Cricetulus griseus: one gene and its partners. The protein of the gene in region 1 purifies or fractionates together with the protein of each later gene. This does not show direct contact. Links are inferred from orthologs where the notes say so. Each region holds a gene or a part of one and is shown in the gene's direction. Other genes may lie near its edges.

Evidence for each region.
Region 2: the proteins of Hscb (region 1) and Sdhb purify together in Homo sapiens (co-immunoprecipitation; 3 studies listed by BioGRID and IntAct, with this or other methods). This does not show direct contact. The link is inferred for Cricetulus griseus from reciprocal best matches to the Homo sapiens genes HSCB and SDHB.
Region 3: the proteins of Hscb (region 1) and Suclg2 purify together in Homo sapiens (affinity purification with mass spectrometry; 3 studies listed by BioGRID and IntAct, with this or other methods). This does not show direct contact. The link is inferred for Cricetulus griseus from reciprocal best matches to the Homo sapiens genes HSCB and SUCLG2.

What each region holds. Positions count from the first base shown.
Region 1 is NC_048597.1:90,618,892-90,624,937, reverse strand, and holds the start of Hscb (iron-sulfur cluster co-chaperone protein HscB), read left to right. Parts: upstream 1-2,412; 5' UTR 2,413-2,463; coding exon 2,464-2,696; intron 2,697-5,439; coding exon 5,440-5,536; intron 5,537-5,867; coding exon 5,868-5,957; coding exon of another isoform or gene 5,958-5,962; intron 5,963-6,046. Other genes in the region: Chek2 (serine/threonine-protein kinase Chk2), read right to left, coding at 691-997.
Region 2 is NC_048595.1:12,290,716-12,296,854, reverse strand, and holds the start of Sdhb (succinate dehydrogenase [ubiquinone] iron-sulfur subunit, mitochondrial), read left to right. Parts: upstream 1-2,450; 5' UTR 2,451-2,523; coding exon 2,524-2,607; intron 2,608-6,139. UniProt on the Homo sapiens protein: Iron-sulfur protein (IP) subunit of the succinate dehydrogenase complex (mitochondrial respiratory chain complex II), responsible for transferring electrons from succinate to ubiquinone (coenzyme Q).
Region 3 is NC_048601.1:48,112,273-48,118,480, forward strand, and holds the start of Suclg2 (succinate--CoA ligase [GDP-forming] subunit beta, mitochondrial), read left to right. Parts: upstream 1-2,519; 5' UTR 2,520-2,559; coding exon 2,560-2,649; intron 2,650-6,208. UniProt on the Homo sapiens protein: GTP-specific succinyl-CoA synthetase functions in the citric acid cycle (TCA), coupling the hydrolysis of succinyl-CoA to the synthesis of GTP and thus represents the only step of substrate-level phosphorylation in the TCA.

The sequences.
Region 1 (6,046 bases):
AAGAAGTTCGATGCAAGTTCAAGGCCATGAGGAACTACATAGTGAATTGCAAACCTACCTAGGCTGCAGAATTTCTTGTCTCAAAAATAATGAGTAGCCAGTCGGTGGTGGCACATGCCGTTAATCCCAGCACTCGGAGCCCAGCCTGGTCTACAGAGCGAGTTCCAGGACAGCCAAGACTATACAGAGAAACCCTGTCTCGTAGAGCCTGATAATATATTCGTATAAAGCCAGCACTTGGGAAATAGAAGCAGGAAGATCAAGAGTTCAAAGTCAAGCTCAGCTACATAGTGAGATCAAGGCCAGCCCAGGCTATGAGACCTTTTCTCTGAAAAAAAATGAAAGAAAAAGATAAATTTTGAGGCCAGCCTATGAAATTTCAAAAAATTCTATTTGATAATAAAAATAAGGTAGCTAGGGATGGAACAACAGATGTAGCTCACTCTACCATGCATAAGGCCTAAGTCTGATTCTTTGCACGAGGATCAACCAGGAGGAGAAATAACAGTGAGTACATGGCAGGTAATGGCAGCCCAGGCACTCCACCACAGCCTCCACTTTTTTTTTTTTTTTTAACTTTTTTCTCACCTCTAACCAGTTATAGGGGCCCTGAGATTTCTGTTGCAACAATCTAACCACCACCCCTGTTTCCCTGAACAATACATTATACTATATAACAAAATGCCTTACCCAGATTGGAGAATCCTTCCTGAAGAGACCATAACCTAGCCCAAGGGGCAGGACCAGGCTCCTCAGGTTCTGGGTCCTCAGGAATAGAGCAGAGCTCCTGGGTGGACACTGTCTCTAAAGAGCTCAGTGTCCCAGAGCTGGAATGAGAGGACTGGCTGGAGGATGACACTGTGCCGCTAGAGGAACTGGATGTGCCTTGAGACTGTGAGGAGAGGTCGTGTAACTGAGAGGAAGTGCCTTGTGACTGAGTGAAGCCACCCTGGGACTGTGAACAGGAACCACTGCTGTGGGACTGCTGATTCTTCATATCCGACCTCAAAAACAGAGTCCAACAATGAGGGGAGATTCAAGGAGCGAGGCCTAAAATTCAAGAACGAGGAATGGAAGCTGGAGAGATGATGCAGCAGCAAAGAACAGAACTATTCTTGTAGAACCCAAAAGTTCAGTAAGTTCCCAGCACCCAAGTCTGGAAGCTCAAGATTGCCTGTGACTCCAACTCCAGTGGGTTTGAAGTCCTCTCGTGGCCCCTGAAATCACTTGCGCTCACGTGAGCATACTCCTGCACACGTAACATATAATTAAAAATAAATCTTTACCCAAAGCTAAGTGAAGAATGTGAATATAACTCAATAGTAGACGCAAAGTCCTGGATTCCATGCCGAGTACCACCAAACATACGAAGCGGAGAACGGGTATACTTAGGGACTGGAGAGACATCGCGGCGGTTAAGAAGAGCACGTTGCTTTTTTGAGTTCAGTTCCCAGCACCCACATCCAGGAGCATACAAATGCCAGTAGTTCCAGCTCTTTGGGAATGCACTGCCCTCTGCTGGCCTCCCTGCGCACTGTACAGACTTACACAGACACATGATTTTTAAAAATAAATTTTTTATAAAAGGAACAGGCATATTATGATCACCTCAGAAGGGCAGAATCATTGATGAGTTTTTTTAAAAAAAGTGACCACAGCAAAATTTCAGGATCACGAACAGAATTTATCGGCCAATTACACAGCGCTAGCGTGTAGAGAAGCTGAGAATGGCTGGTTGCTTCCTATCCACTCCTTGCCACCCTACCCCACACACTTCCTTACGTACTCACTCCAGTTCCTGCAGAGCCTAGCAGCGATGTTTGTGGTTCTCAGTAAATATTTGGGAAGAATGAATCGGGGACCTGGCATGATCACTAACATTTATAATACTCGCTATGAAACTACTTCGCTCTCTGGCATTGAAGAGCCCAACTCTGTGCCTTCCCATGTCTCAGCTTGTAAATAACAAGAGAATGTCCCCCTCGAAGAGCAGCTAAAAAACAAGGAAGAGTCGCCTGCGTGCAGAGCTCTCTTGCACACACAGACCAGGCGGAAGCTGCGAAGGGCCCCTTTGCAGAAGACCCTGAGACCCGATTCGAATCCTCAGACAGGCAAGAAAAATTTCCCGCTAAAACTCACCGCGAAAGAACACCTGGAGCCACAAACACCCCAGACCGCCGCAACCAGTGGTGTGGCGCTAAACCTACCCATGCAAACTCCACCCTCAGCCAATCAAAACGCCTTTCTGCTCGGCACGACCAATAAGAAGACCCGAATGTGGCTGCCATGCGTTAGCCTCAAGGCTTGCTGGGAGTTGTAGTTTAGGATGCAGAACGGGACTCGGCATCCTGTTTTACCGAGGCTGATCCCGCCTCCTCGGCTCACTAAACCAATCAGCAACGAGTCACTCTTGCTTCCTTTCCCTCGAGTCCCTCGACCCAGGCCAGACGGGCGGCTGTCCGGATGTGGGGCTGCCGGGCCCGTGCTTTGGTTTGCGTGTGGGAGGTGCGACTAGCTGGGTTCCTGGGAAGGAGACTGCTGAGCAGCAACGCTGCCTCGGGCAAGAGCAATGCGGGCCAGTGCTGGAACTGCGGCAGCGCTGGGGGTGTGGAGAGTGGGGATGGGTTCTTCTGCGAACACTGCCGCGCCTTGCAGCCACCTGACCCGACTCGGGACTACTTCAGCCTCATGAATTGGTACGCGCGGCGCAGAGTTATGGGAGGGCGAGTCGGTCTTGGGGAGCTCGGATGGCCGAGTTAGTTAAATTAGGCAGGCGTTACCCTGGTGCTTACGACTTGGGTCCTCGCCGGCGGGCCTGTAATTTCCAGCCAGCTGGAAGACTGAGGCAGGAGGACCACGGTTCAAGGCCAGTTTAAGCAACTTACCGAGACTCATTCAAAACGAACAAAGCAAAAAAAAAAAAAAAAAAAGTATATAGGTCATTTGTATAATATAGGACCTGCTGAGATTTTAGGAGTTTGCCTGAGAGGAAGAGGAAATCAAGTTACAGACTGGAAAGAAGGTAAGGGTGGAGGCGGGGATGAAAGCGTAAACTTGCAGATGCCTGCAATGTAAGCACTTGGGAAGTGGAAGTGGGAGGTTAAGGAATTCAGGACTAGCCTCTGCTACAAAGGCTTTGTTTTTAAACATCAGCAACAACAAAAGGGAACAGGCTCAAGTTTACAGTATAGGGAGGTTTGAGGGGCGGGCTCCTGGAAAAGGGGATTCCAGAGGCTGAACTCCAGGGAGGAAAAAGGAGCAGAGTTTGTTTTTCAACTTGTAGTTCTGACTCTACCTCCCCAGTGCTAGGATTAAAAGCATCTGGACTAAAGTAGGAGGATCCCCAGTAGGTGCCCAACCACAAAAATAGGGAACATTCTCATCTCAAATAAGTAAATATTTTAAAGGAGACAATAAAAATAAAACAAGTCGTCTGTGTTGATGTATGCCTGTGAGCTCAGAGGGTGAGGCAGGATTACAGATTTGAGGGCAACCCGAGCTATACAATGAGTTTGATGAGAGTCTGGGCTACATGAGGTTAGGTCTCAAAAATCAAAAGCAATTAAGAATAAAACAAACCGCCTGGCACAAGCCAGCACACACCTCCAACCCCAGCACTCGAAGCAGAGGCAGCTGCATCTCGGTGAGTTCCAGGTCAACCTGGTCTGTAAATGGAGTCCCAAGACAGCCAAGGCTACACAAAGAAGCCGTCTTGAAAAAGAATAAAACAAACCAAGTGTGGTGGCATATGTCTGGGATCTCAGTCTTCAGGGATGAAGAAGAAGGGTGACAAGTTGGAGCCCAATATAGGCTAAGCAGTGGGATCCCTGTCTCAAGAAATTTTAATTCAGGCTCAAGATTTGAGAGAGGCCAAGAAATGTTTCACATGGTTTGTTTCCCCTTGCCTTTTCTTCTGGAGATTGGTACGGAAGTGTGAGCAGAGTTAAACTAATAGACTATATTAAAGTAAATGTGGAAGGTCCAGGTGTAGTTGCACACACCTGTGATCCCAGCCAAAAGCAAGAGGATCTTACAGTCTGGGCTACACAGTCACAGTCTAACTCCCCCCTAACAACACCACTCCCCCCAAAAAAAGAAAGAAGTAAAGTAAATGCTAAATCCTCACTTTGGCTCAGTGATACAACACTTCCTTTGCATTAGCAAGGGACCTGGGTTCGAATCCCAGTACCATACTTTTAAAAAGGCTGAATATTAACATTAATGGCTCAGTATGGTAGTCTCTGTAATTCCAGCTACTCAGGAAGCTGAAGAAGGATCAGAAATTTCAGCCAGGGTGGTAGTGCCACAGGCCTTTAATCCCAGCACTCAGGAGTCAGAGGTAGGCAGATCTCTGAGTTCAAGACCAGCCTGGTCTACAAAGTGAGTTCCAGGACAGCCAGGACTGTTACACAGAGAAACCCTGTCTTGAAAAAACATAAATAGCCAGGCGTTGGTGGTGCATGCCTTTAATCCCAGCACTCAGGAGGCAGAGGCAGGCGGATCTTTGTGAGTTTGAGGCCAGCCTGGTCTCCAGAGTGAGTGCCAGGATAGGCTCCAAAGCTACACAGAGAAACCCTGTCTTGAAAAAACAAAAAAAAAAAGAAAGAAAGAAAGAAAGAAAACATAAATTTAAAAAAAATATTTCAGCCCTGAGCAATTTAGCAACACTCAATTCAGCCTTTTTTTTTTTTAATTAAGCTGATATACTGAGTTTATTGTCATATGTCTATAATCCTAGCACTTGAGGGAAGAGGTGGGAAGATCCAGAGTTGTAGGTCATTCTTGGCATATGCCAAGTTTGAGGCCAGCCTGGGGTATACAAGATCTTATCTCATACACACACACTTTTTTCTTTTAATGGCCAAGGCTCTGGGCCTGGTGACCTGTAATCCCCAATGATCAGGGACACTAAAATAGGCTTATTGCAAGTCAAAGCCTGCCTGGACTATAGAGTGACTACAAAGTCAACTTGGGCTCCTTAGTTACGAACCTGTCTCAGAATAAAAAGTAAAAAGGGGCTTGGTCGGGGAAGGAAGTGAGTGGCTTGGTGCTAAAGTTCTTGCCCAGCATGCAGGAGACCCTGGATCCAGTCTTCAGCACAGAAAAAAAAAAAGAAGAAAAAGTAGGAATCAAGGGACAAACAGGTTAAGCAAGTGCTCTAAACTCTTATACACATTTTCATCAGTCACAGTGCTTACAATGGACCACGCTAACCTTATCCCTGAATTTGTCAAGCTGTTAATCTTCCAGTCACTTCAGGGTCTCTGCACTTACATGTTTGTCCACTCCTGTCCCTTTCTGATCTTTGGTCATTCCGGAGTAGCACAATTGAAGTCTCTCAGATGTCATTATGTTCATTACATCTTCCCCAAGAGCAGAATCAGACCGTAGTGATTAATGCTCAATACTTTGCATGAGTAACATCCACTTTCCTTCCAGCCACCGATCCTTCAGGGTTGATGTCATGAAGCTTCAGCACAGGTACCAGCAACTGCAGCGTCTCGTCCACCCAGATTTCTTCAGCCAAAAGTCTCAGGTATTCACTGACCCTCTAATATTCCCCATATATGTGTGGAACTGGGTAGATGGCAGTGTTGATCTGGGAAAGAGTCGGGCTACTAGCTCCACCCTGTGGCAGCCTGCCCCTAGACAGCCAGGCCCCAGAGATGTCATTTCCTCACAGTTTTTATCTGACTTCCCAGATAAAACTGAAAACGCATCCGTTGAAAACTACAAACTACTTATCCAACAGCAGTTGTAATTTTGCCCATGACTCTAAATCCCTGCCCATCACTGTACTATAAAAGTTTGGGAATCAAAGAGGACTGGCTCTTGTGGTAATAAACTGTTTTTATCTCTATGAACAGACTGAAAAACACTTCTCAGAGAAGCATTCGACCCTGGTGAATGATGCCTATAAGACTCTTCAGGCTCCCCTGAGCAGGGGACTATACCTTGTAAGGTGATTTCCCAATCCATCTGTATGTGACTTCCTCTGTATGAGACCTGGCCTAGTCCAGGAAGCTCATGATACTTAGCCTCAAAA
Region 2 (6,139 bases), on another chromosome or scaffold:
CTTTCTTTCTTGTTTTGAGACAGAGTTTCTCTGTGTAGCCCTGGCTGGCCCTGTAGACCAGGTTGACTGCAACTCAGAGATCCACTTGCGTCCCCCTCCTGACTGCTGAGATTAAAAGCATGTGCCACCACCTCCTGGTCCTTTTTCTTTTTGGAGGGTCATGGAACAAGTTCTCACTACGTAGCTCAGGCTGATCTGCAACTAGCAATCCTCCTGCCTCTGCCTCTGCCTCTTGAGTGCATAGAATGCAATCTTGAGCTATCAAACCCAGGTTGGTGTTCATTTTTGCTTCCAGACTCAATTTCTAACCCTGGAGTGCCTCAAGCAGAAGGCCCACCCTAGGCTGCCCAGATTTCCTAGTATTCAAAGACTGTCTGTGAACAGGGGCAGTCATTCGCACTCCACTGGGTTGTCGGGAGAACCAGAGTAGACTGTTGATGTAAACACATTTGCAAGGGATGAGGTGAGGTTCTGTATAAATACAGAACACCCATCACAATGTCTGATGAAAAGCAATATATCAATCGCTCTCTACATGGATGGCAACCAACCCACCCCAAAGCCTGGTCTTATAGCAAGGACACCTCGGGAACATAAGTCAGTAGTAGACCATGAAAACCTTTAAGTCCTATGACATCTGTGCCTTTGTGGAAGCCCGAAGCTCAGTGCGGAGGTAGAGCCGCCCAGGAATTTATTATCTCTCCATAACACTGAGCTTCCCAAATCCCCATGAAGCCCAGGAATGACATGACTGCAGAGTTTGTGGGCACACTGGCACCGAGAGCCCCTCCATAAATCAAGGTCTCACTTTTGCTGGCCACAGCCTGCTTTTTCCAAGGTGACCTGGGAAAAGTTAAAGGCTAGCCACTCCTGTGGGGGTGGTGTCTGTCTTTGACATGATGGCTGGAAATGGCTAAGGTGTCAGGTCTCTGGAAATAATACCTATTGACTCTCTGGAGGAATTGCAAAGAAAACGAAGGTCTTCCTACAACCTCCTACAAGTTGGAGGTCTGCCTACAAGAGGCAGAGGCAGGAGCACTCAATTTGGTCGGCTGGGGTAGACTGGAGGGGCCTATCCCAGTGCTGAGCCAGCTCCCTGCAAAGTCAAGGTGACCTCCACCTTGTCATCTGTTGCACAAGACAAGCCATGTCAATTGCAGAATCTTAAATCAGCTGTCCCAACCCCCCTGCGGATTCAGACCAGGACACTATAAGTCAGAGGTGAAGAAGGACTTGTCCAAGGTCACATGGCCTGAAGGGGAGCAGTTGAGGTGACCTTCTGGAGAGGCCACCTGGCAGAGAAGCCAGCTTCAGGTTCAGGTCTCAGAAACGTGGCCCCATCTAGCCATTCCCTCTGTCATCTTAATTTCTCCAGTGGCATCTAAATGAGTTGGAGTGAGGAAACCAAAGACTGTAAACAGTGATCTTCCTTTGCCAAAAGTGAGAGGAGAGAAATGAAATCATTCCTTCTGGAAACAGGTGACCAGCAAAGTCACTGGGTGTCCGAAGAGATCAAATGACTTGGGACACCAAGATCACACCTGCCTAATGTAGTCAAATCCCAAGTCAGAGAGACTGAAAGAATGTAAACAAGGTGCTAGAAAAAACAGTCCAGACGTTAAAGGAAACTTACAAAACACACTCTGTGGATACAGCTCAGTTGGCAGAGTGATTGTCTAACACGCACACCCGGGCATGGTGGCACACACCTGTAACTCCAGCAGCAAGAGCTGAAGTTCAAGGTCATTCTCCTTAGTGGACACCCTAGGCGACGTCACCCATCTTTCCTACTGTTACTTCCCCCACTTTCCCATCTCCACTGTTATAGAGGAATTATGTGAGTGTCTGGGTCACTCACCCCGGCATCGCAGAGCCTGGGCCCAGCCACAGATTGCTTTCGTTTTGGTTTTGCGTGTTTTGAGGCACGGTTTCGTGTATCCCAGACTGCCCTCCACCTCATTACGCAGCCAAAGATCCTCCTCCTGCCTCCGCGTGCCAATTTCTAGGATTCCAGCCCTGCGGGTTATGTACATATTTATGGATAAATGCGTGAGTGACACCTTTGTCAGTCATCCTTGTGATCGCCTCAATCACTCACCAACTGCCCCAATCAGCTAGGCGCTGAGGGGTTCTCTGTATTCAGCAAAAGAGCTGATCAGTCAAGAGTCAGACATGATTGACAGGCATCCTGGCAAGCGGAGAGGGATTAAAATCCCGACCCAGAGCAAAACGGGAAGGCTCCGCCCCTCCTCGTCTTTGCTCCGCCCCTTGCCAGCCACCCTTTCTCCCGCCCATCAGACTGCAGAGGTCACCCTAGGACCAAGGGAGGCCCAGTGGGCATGCGCCCTGCTGGCCGCCATTGCGCACGCGCGCTTCCCATTGGCTCGCTCGGGAAACCGGAAGCCGCCTCCCATTCGTTGGCTCTCAGGCGGCTAGCGGGCCTCGGGGTGAGAGGCCGGCTTCCACCGCGGTGTTCGACGGGATGCCGGAGGGTAAGGGGCGGGGCTGACGTTGGGAGCCAAGATGGCGGCGGCGGCGGCGGTGGCGGTTGGTGTCTCCTTGAGGCGCTGCTTCCCGGCAACGGCTCTCGGCAGAGCCCGCCTGCAGGTGAGGCGCGGGGCCGTGGCTCAGGGGGCGCCGTGCCCGTCCCCGAGGCTGCCTGGGGTGGGCAGGCCACGGAGAGGCGGCGGGAGCCCGGGTCCAGGCCTCGGGGGAGGACGTGCCACCTGCGCGCTGCCCCGGAGCGTCCTGTCACACGGCCCCCCGCGCTTCGCCACAGCCGCCGAGTCGCGGCCGGGCGGAGGTTGGGAAAGGTCAGCGGGAAGACGGAGGGCAGGGAGGGCATGTTCAAGGTCACGTGGCAGGCGCCCGGTTGTCGCAAGCCAGCTTCGAACCCAGAGGTTTGGACTAAGGGCGGCCTGCGGTGGGTGGGGCCGGGCCGGCCCCGGGAAGCCAGGTCGCACCTCCAGGGTGGGCTGATCTGGGTCGGTGAAGAGGGAACGCAGTGCCCCTGGCCCTCCCGGGAAAGGAGAGATGGCAGAAGCGACCCAGCCCTCGGAAGATGCGGACCCCGGTCTGTGGAAGCCTGCAGGCAAGACCCGGTTCCCGAAAGCGGGTTTATCCCAGGGTGTGTAGCGGCACCGGTCCCCGGCCGTTGACGTGGGATGACATAAGCAGAGCCCGGAGCTGCTTCTGTCTCTGCTACTGTGGTGGCCGTCACAGGGCTCCCCACACGCCCTGTGTCCTGGGGAGCTGCACTCTGCGGGTGTGCCTCCTCAGTGGGAGCATTTAGAAAGAAAGGCCAGAGAGACGGCCTCTGCTTTCTCAAGGGACTGGAGACTTACAAATCCCGGACGCGCTGTACTCCTGGACAGAACCTTTTAAAGGTGGGGACTCTCCTTAAAGGTTTGAAAACCGAGTCTCTCCATCGGCCCCCATTTCTTAAAACTTTTCCAGGGCACTTTTTATTTTTTAAGATTTTTTTTTTTTAATTTGTGTGTACGAGTGTTTGCTTGAATGTACGTAGGGGCACCGTGGGCCTGTCTGGTATCCATGGAGATCAGAAGGGGGAGCTTTATTCCCTGGAACTGGAGTTACAGGTGGTTATGAGACTTGATGTGAGTGCTGGGAACTCACCCCTGCTCCTCTCCAAACTGCTAAGACATATCACCAGTCTTGTTGTTTTTGTTTTGTTTTTGGACGGGGTCTCTTAAGCAGCCCTGGTTGCACTTTCGCTCCTGGAACTCAGAGATAACCCCTGTCTCAGCCCCCCATGCTCAGGGATTAAAGATGTGTGCTGCCATCCCTGGCCCTGCCACAGACATGGTTGGCATATAGAAATATTAGTTCCAGCCGGGCGTTGGTGGCGCACGCCTTTAATCCCAGCACTTGGGAGGCAGAGGCAGGCGGATCTCTGTGACCAGCCTGGTCTTACAAGAGCTAGTTCCAGGATAGCCTCCAAAGCCACAGAGAAACCCTGTCTCGAAAAGCAAAAAAAAAAAAAAAAAAAAAAAAAGAAATATTAGTTCCTTTTCTTGACTTTACTTGATCTCCCTCATCATAAGTGCCTGCTGTGCCTGCAAACACAGTACACACTCCACCATTTTGCAATCCCAGCCCTCATATGTGAGTACAATATTTACACATTTCTATCCCTCTCCTGCATGCTCCCCTGCCCCCTCTCAAATTCATTACTTTATCATTGCTATATATATATACACACATACACAATCTCTTGACCATTTAGTGTTGCTTATACATACATATGTTCAGTGTTGACAACATGGGATTGGATGCATAATGCCAATACCAGTTCACATGCTAACATGAATTGGGGGGAAGTTTCCCAAGGCCCCACCTCTAATTGAAGAGCTACAGGAAATCCATGGCTGCTGAGAAGGGGTGCATCAGGAAGGAGCCTCCCGATAGGTTTGCCAGTTAATGATTCTCAGGGACCTTGTTTTCTTTATCAGCCTCTTTCCATGTTGCTGAGGCAGCAGTAAAGTTGTAAGAGCCCCACCACTAGGAATGAGTTCTAAGGCCCAGGCTGGGCTTCCTAGAATGAACTATAGAAAAGCTGGTTTCACAGGCTGGTGTTAGCATTTCAGGAGAGGCCTTTGCCCACCTTCTCCAGGGACGTAAGAGCAAGAGAGGCATCCTCCCTGTGGGAAGGTTTTTGTGTTGGATTTGTATTCCTGAGAACCCATAATGAGCTTGCTGTATTTCTGTGGGCTTGTTGGTTCAGGTTCTGAACCTCCTGTGTGTGGTCTGCACCCCAGGACTGCAGTTCTGCTTGCAAGAGTTTAATTGTGATGGGTTAACTGTTAATAGCATGCCTTATTTCTTCATCTGGACTGTGGACTCCAGGAGGGCAAAGCTGCTTTTTACAGCTGTGCCTCTCTTTGCTCCTGGGTCTGGCAAAGCTTAGAATGCCCATCTGCCAGTCAGAATAACCCAAGTCCTAAAAATGCTGCCAGTGTTGAAAGGCAGAAATCATTTCTAGAACTATGCCAGGAGTTTGGCCTGTTTCTTGTGGAATAGGTATCAATCCCACCCTCCTCTTTGCAAAGGAGAAAGTGGCATCAGATTGGCTTAGCAGTTCTCTGAAGAACACATAGCTCAAAGGTGACAGGGCTTGGATCTGAAACGACCCCACTGATACATTTCAGATACAAGCCTGCACCTTCAGTTTGTGCTGGTGTGACTTCATGCAGGCCTCCTGGCCTTCCTACCTTCTCCCACCTTCCCTCCTGTGGCTGTGTAATTTGTCTAGTTTCAGGCCTGCCCCTAAGGAAGCTATTTTGTATATAGGGGTATGCGCGCCTAGTTGTGCATACTGAGATCAGAGGACAGCCTATTGGAGTCTGTTCTCTCCACCTGTATGTGGATTCTAGGCATATAACTCAAATTGTCAGGCTTGGTGGCAATTGCCTTTTTCTACTGAGCCATCCACTGACCTGTTTTTATTTGTATTTTTAGTTGTGTATATTTACATATGAATACAGTTGCCTGTGGGGTCCAGAAGAGGGCATAGGATCCCCAGAGATGAAGTTACAGGTTGTGAGCCGTTTAACTGATGAGCCATCTCTCTACTCCACAGGTGGGTGGGTGGGTGGGTGGTGTGTGTGTGTGTGTGTGTGTGTGTGTGTGTGTGTGTGTGTTTCAGGGCAGGGTCTTATATTGTAGCTCTGGCTATTCTGGAACTCACTATGTAGACCAGGCTGGCCTCTAACTCACAGAGATCCACCTACCTCTGCTTCTGGAGCTCTGGGATTAAAGATGTGCACCACTATATCCAACTGTCTCAGGTTATTTTTTTAAAGGCAGATAACTGTGCACATACACAGTAACTTGTGTGACTCCTAGGGTTTTTCAAGACAGGGTTTCTCTGGGTAGTCTTGGATATCCTGGAACTCACTTTTTAGACCAGGCTAGCCTCAAACTCAGAGATCCACCTGCTCCTGCCTCTCAAGTGATGGTATCAAAGGTGTGCACCACCACACCCTGGCAACTCCAAAAATCTTTATGTCGAGTGAAAAACTGGATGCAGGATGTAAAGAGACCATTTTTTATGGGCAAAAATACTCTGATTATGATACTACTTTTTAAAACTCATAAAATGGGGTTGGAGAGATGACTC
Region 3 (6,208 bases), on another chromosome or scaffold:
TGGGACTCGGTTACTTCACTCAGGATGGTTTCTTCTAGCTCTATCCATTTGCTTGTGAATTTCAAGACTTCATTGTTTATTCCCCCCCCCAGTAGTTCTCCATTGTGTAAATGTGCCACATTTTCTCTATCCATTCTTCAGTTAAGGGACATCTAGGTTGCTTCTAGGTTCTGGCTATTAGAAATAATGCTGCTATGAACATAGTTGAAGAGATGTCCTTGTTATATAAATGTGCATCCTTTGGGTATAATCCTGAGTGGAATTGCTGGATCTTGTGGTAGACTGATTCCCATTTTCCTGAGAAACCACTATACTGATTTCCAAAGTGGCTGCACAAGTTTGCACTCCCATCAGCAATGGAGGAGTGTCCCCCCTTTTCCACATACTCTCCAGCATAAACTGTTGTTGGTGTTTTTGATTTTAACCATTCTGACAGGTATAAGATGGTATCTCAGAGTTGTTTTAATTTGCATTTCCCTGATGGCTAAGGATGTTCAGGAATTTCTTAAGTGTCTTTCAGTCATTTTAGATTCCTCTATTGTGAATTCTCTATTTAATTCTAAACTCCACTTTTTAATTGGATTATTTGGTGTTTTGGTGACTAGCTTTTTGAGTTCTTTGTATATTTTGGAAATCAGCCCTCTGTCAGATGTGGGTTTGGTGAAGATCTTTTCCCATTCTGTGGGCTGCTGTATTGTCTTGTTGACTGTGTCCTTTGCCAGAGCGTGCCAGGGGCAGAAAGGAAGCTAGGCCAGAGAGAGAGGCTCCTGTGTGCTTGCAGCCCCTTAAAAACCTATCCTGAGTCATCCTTACCTCACCTTGACCATGCCCTGATAGGCATAGTCAGGCACACCTGTAGCCAGCCCTTAGGAGGTGTGGTTACGGTGTCTCCCTACATATGGGTGTCTGTTTCTGCTTCGAACAGCAACTGGATGAAGACTCTCCTTGCTCTCCCTGTCCCTGGGCTCCAATTTGGTCAGGGGTTCTTGTCCCCATGTCCTTCTTAGAGGGACTATGCAATCTTCTGTTGTGGTCCTCCTTGTTTCCTAGCTCCTCTGGCAGTGTGGAATGTAGGCTAGTGATCCTTTGCTCTATTTCTAAAATCAAAAATGAGTGAGTACATACCATGTTTATCATTTTGTGATTGGGTTACCTCACTGAGGATGGTTTCTTTAGTTCCATCCATTTGCCTGCGATTTTCAAGATTCCATTGCTTTTTCCACTGAGTAGTACTCCATTGTGTAAATACACCACATTTTCTCTATCCATTCTTCAGTTGAGGGGTATCTAGGTTGTTTCCAGGTTCTGGCTATTACAAATAATGCTGCTATGAACATAGTTGAACATATGCCCTTATTGTATGAGTGTGTATTCTTTGTGTATATGCCTAAGAGAGGGATTGCTGGATCTTGAGGTAGACTGATTCCCATTTTCCTGAGAAACCGCCATACTGATTTCCAAAGTGGTTGTACAACTTTGCACTCCCACCAGTAATGGAGTAGAGTTCCTCTTTCTCCACATCCTCTCCAGCATAGATTGTCATTGGTTTTAATTGATTTTAGCCATTCTGAAAGGAGTAAGATGGTATCTCAGAATGGTTTTAAGTTGCACTTCCCTGATGGCTAAGGATGTTGAACACTTTCTCAAGTGTCTTTCAGCCATATTGGATTCCTCTGTTGAGAATTCTCTATTTAGTTCTGCACTCCATCTTTTAATTGCATTGTTTAGAGTTTTGGTGCCTAGCTTCTTGAGTTCATTGTATATTTTGGTGATCAGCCCTCTGTCAGATGTGGGATTGGTGAAGATATTTTATTAACACGTGCCTCTAAGACATGCCTAAAATCCTCCTTCACTTTCACGAGAGAGACAGGGTGGTGCCTTTCTACTGTCTCCATAGTTGAGAAGTAGAGGAAGGGTCAGGAGCTTTACATGAATTTTTGGCTAATGGAAGGTATTTGAAACCTGATCTCAAAAGCCAAAAGGAAAACAACAAACCACTACCACGTAAAACAAACCACCCACTTCGCCTGCCCCACGTGGCCTGTGGGCAGCATTGGTTCTAATTCCTTCCTTGGGAACAATCCTTTGTCCAAGAGGTGTCCTTTATAATGGCATCAGTTGCTAGGCTCAGACCTAGCAGCCCTCACTGCAGTCAACAATCCTCTAATCTGTGGTTCCTGGGGCCAGTTTAAGCCAGTGTCGTCCCTGGGGCTGAGATCCGTTTTTGTTTGGAAGCCAAGCAAGAAATTGTGAGGTCTGGGAAGCCACAAGGCGTCGAGTGTGGTGGTGCTGGTGGTGGGCGAAGGGGTGGTGGTGGGAGCGAGTGGGTGAGTCCCCTACCCTCCTGCCACTCCCATCCCTTCCCTTTCCCAATTCACCCTGCTCCCTTCAGCCTCCCCGTGCTCCTCCCATCCCGCCCCCTCTTCCGCCCCCTCCCTCCCCTACCGCCCCGCCCCTCCTCGGCTCGCCCCGCCCGTGGCCTCGGTCAGGGGCCGGCTCCCTCCCCGCCCCGCCCGCCCCCTCCCCCCCTTGCGGCCTCTCCACAGGTTCCTGGTTAAGATGGCGTCCCCCGTGGCCATCGCGGCGCAGGCCGGGAAGCTTCTGCGAGAGCAAGCGCTGCGGCCGCGGCTCCTGGCGGTCAGGTCCCAGGTGAGCGCGGCTGCGACGACGCAAGCCACCCGCTGTGGCGCCCCTGCTCGGCGGCGGCTTCTTGGTCCCCAGAGACCCCTCGCGCGACCCCCGTGCTGCCCCGCGGCGTGGCTGGCAGAGCGGCGTCCCTGGTGTAGCAGCGGGACCCGGGCCACCTCCCACGGGAGGTCGCGGGGGTGGCGGGGTCGCAGTCACACACACACCACGGTCTGGGTCGTTTCACACCCCCCCCACCCCCCCAGCTGGCACTGGAGCCCGGCGCTGGCCCCGGTGGAGGTGGCGAAAGTTGCTCGCACTGTTGGAATCCAGAGCTTTCCCAGTCTTTCCTGGAGCGGCTTTGGGGGCGTCCGTCTGCCGGAGCTCGCCAGGCCGGCCACGTGCTCCACATGCCAGAAAACCGGCGGCTCTCAAGGCTGCTCACCTGCCAGGGTGAACTCTGCAGGTTGTTGCTCGTGCAGCCTCTGCGTGCTTCTCTTCGGGGGCAATGCAGGGGTCCAGGAGCAAAGTGGGAGCCCGCTCCTCTTCCTTCTCCTATGAATGGCCTGTGTCAAAATTCCTCCGTCCCTACCCACTTTGTCCATGCCTCATGGAGACTGAGTTGCTAGTGTTGGACTCGGAACAGCGCCACGGTGCTCACATGTTTAGGTGCTTCTGATGGCAACCTTCAACGTAGCCAGAGGCCTCTTGGGGGAATAGTTGACTTTGACACTTTCTACTTTCTCTAGATTACCCCCTCCCTCAGAAAGAAAAAAAGAGAACTTCTCAGCTCAGTGAGAGGCAAATTATCACATTTTAACTAAGGCACGCATAGGGCACTGAGAAAACTGCAAGAAAAAGTTACTAGTGATTTTTTTTTTTTTTTGAGTTACTCTAAGTAATTTTGACACCCGTGAAGGTTTTTTTTTTTCCTTTCTTTTCATTACCTGATGTTCCATTTCTCTGTTATTGTTAATGGGAATTGAAGAGGTGCTAATACTTATTATTGTAATATCCTTAATAGGCACTTGACAGTATGGTGGGTAAGGGACAGGGATGGCGGTTTGTCTAATTAAAATCACTGATACCTGCTATAATAGAGTAAGGAGAGATCTCCAGATGATCTAAGTCCTATTCATTATTTAAGTGTTATAAAAAAAACGAGAACTGTGGTGCTGTTATGGTAGATTTGAATTTATGAGAAACATGGAGCCCAGGGCAGTGAAAAATGAAGACTAGGAAGGCGGTGGTTGTTCATAGAAGCCTAAAACAGAACATTTAGGTGAAGTATGTTGTCATCTTCCCTACCCAAGTAACAAAAACCTTAGAATACTTAGGAGAGACTGGCTGGCAAGCAGACTGGGATGAGAAGACCTGTTACCTACATTGGACAATGTGCTTTTGGTTTATGTACCCATTATTTATAATTCTGGGAACACCAGGCTTAGAAGATGACAGTGGGGCTGGGAGATGGCTCAGGTAGTAAGGACACTGGCTTCCTTGAGTTCATGGTCTCCCCGGTGCCATGTACAAAGCTAAGTGTGGCATTGTGAACTTGTGAACCCAGTACTGGGAGGAAGACACATGTGGGTCCCCAGAGCTTGTTGGCCAGCTAACCTAGCTGAAATGGTGAGGTCCCATTTCAGCGAGTGACCCTGTGGAAGGTGGAGAGTGCTAGAGGAAGACAGGTGATTTCAGGACAGCCTGAGGAGTGCTCCTGTGTACAAAAGTCCAGGGCTGAGCAGTTGAGTGACCTGTTCAAGGTTACAGAGAGTTTGAGGCAGAGCTGAAGGCTGAGTAAAGGTTTACTTCACGTTCCTGGTATACCAGGGGAGAGCCTGGTGAGTGCCCATTTCCCAAGTAAATTAAATTGCAGACCTGTAGAAGCTGCAAGTCACTAGTGCTGGGGACACATTTCTTAAAGGAACATTTTGGAGTTGGTAATGGAAGGAGGTGCACACAGCCCCTGACTTTAAGGATCTATTTTCTTAGTACCTGCTCCATGCCATTCTGATTTGATACAAACTATCTACTTCCTAGATCTTACCTGATGCTACCGTTAAGGATGGTTCATTATTCCCCCCACCAAACTTAGGAATCTTTTCCAAGTATCTCAGAAATCTGTTGGCAACCTCTGCCCAGACCTACTTTATACCAGACTTTGTGGAAAAAAACAAAACAAAACTTGTGGATGGGCCAAGACAAAAGACTGACTTTCTGCTTTTAGAAGCAACTCTTAAGGGGTTTCACAAAAATACCCATAGAATAACACCCCTCCCTGGGGTTAACTTTAGACACATTTTTGATGCTTAATGTCATTGAACTTTCTCCCTCTGTGTCTGTCTGTCTGTCTCTCTTAAACTTCTGCCCTCTACTTCATCGTTTTGACTTTGGGTTAATGTTATATCCTTTATAGGGCTGTATTTGGCCATCTCTACACCATCGGGAGGTCTGCTTCAGGCCCTGGGACCTGGGGCTATAAGTAAAGCAGGCAGATCCCTTGAGCACATGGGCAGGATGGGCAAAAATAGATTCTACAGCAAGAAAGATGTTTTCCAGAACTGACGGAGCCATAATGAAATCAAACAGGGCCACATGATGGGGAATAAATAGCTTCACAGGCAGGTACACCAAAGGCCAGAAAATCTGTTCCATAACATGTTTTTATTTAGGTTTAATTGTTTTCTTTTTTTTGAGACTGGGTCTCATGTGTAGCTGTGGCTGGCCTATGTTGCCTAGGCTTTCCTAGAACTCACAGGGATCCACTTTCATCTGACTTCCAAGGACTGGGAGTAAAGGTCTGAGCTGCCATGACTGGTCTATGCTTAACTTTTTAATTGAAGACACAAACGTAGAGCATACTCTTCTTATTGCTGTAGCAGAATACCCAAAATGGCAGCTTAAGGAAGGCAGGCATTGTTCTGGCTCACAGTTGAACGAGATGATCACAGATGATCCTGGTGGGAAAGGGAAGGCGACAGGCACTTGTGGCAACTGGTCACATGTATCCACAGTCAGGAAGCAGAGGCAGATGAACGCTCTGCTCCTTTCTGTGCAGTTTGGGAGCACAACCCATGGGAGGCTGCCACCTGCATTCAGAGAGGCTCTTTCCTCCTCACTTAATCTAGTGGTAACCTCACAGGTGTGCCCAGAGGTTGGTCTCCTAGGTGATTCCAGACCTGTCAAGGTGACAGTATTGACTGTCAGTGAACTGTTTGGTGAGTTTGTAATCTGTGACAAGCAGCTGGGTCACTACATACAGAACAAGAAAGTAAATTAACAGCAGCTCAAATCCTTTAGTACCTGTATCTAACAAAGGGAGCAGTCTCCTCTTTTACAATACTGATTCATTTTTGTTATGTAAATGACATTACACAGTATGCATACACTATGTACTGCCCTATTATGAGATCCTGAGTTTTTGACACTTGACCTGTGTGATGAAAGGGACTAGCCAGATGAGATGTGATGGGATGGGGGTGTATTAGTCAATACAGACAGCAAGTGCAAACCCTGGTAGATAGATAACTCCCAGCTAGCCCTCCAAATGCATAGATGCCATGAAACATGTTGGGTGGCATAA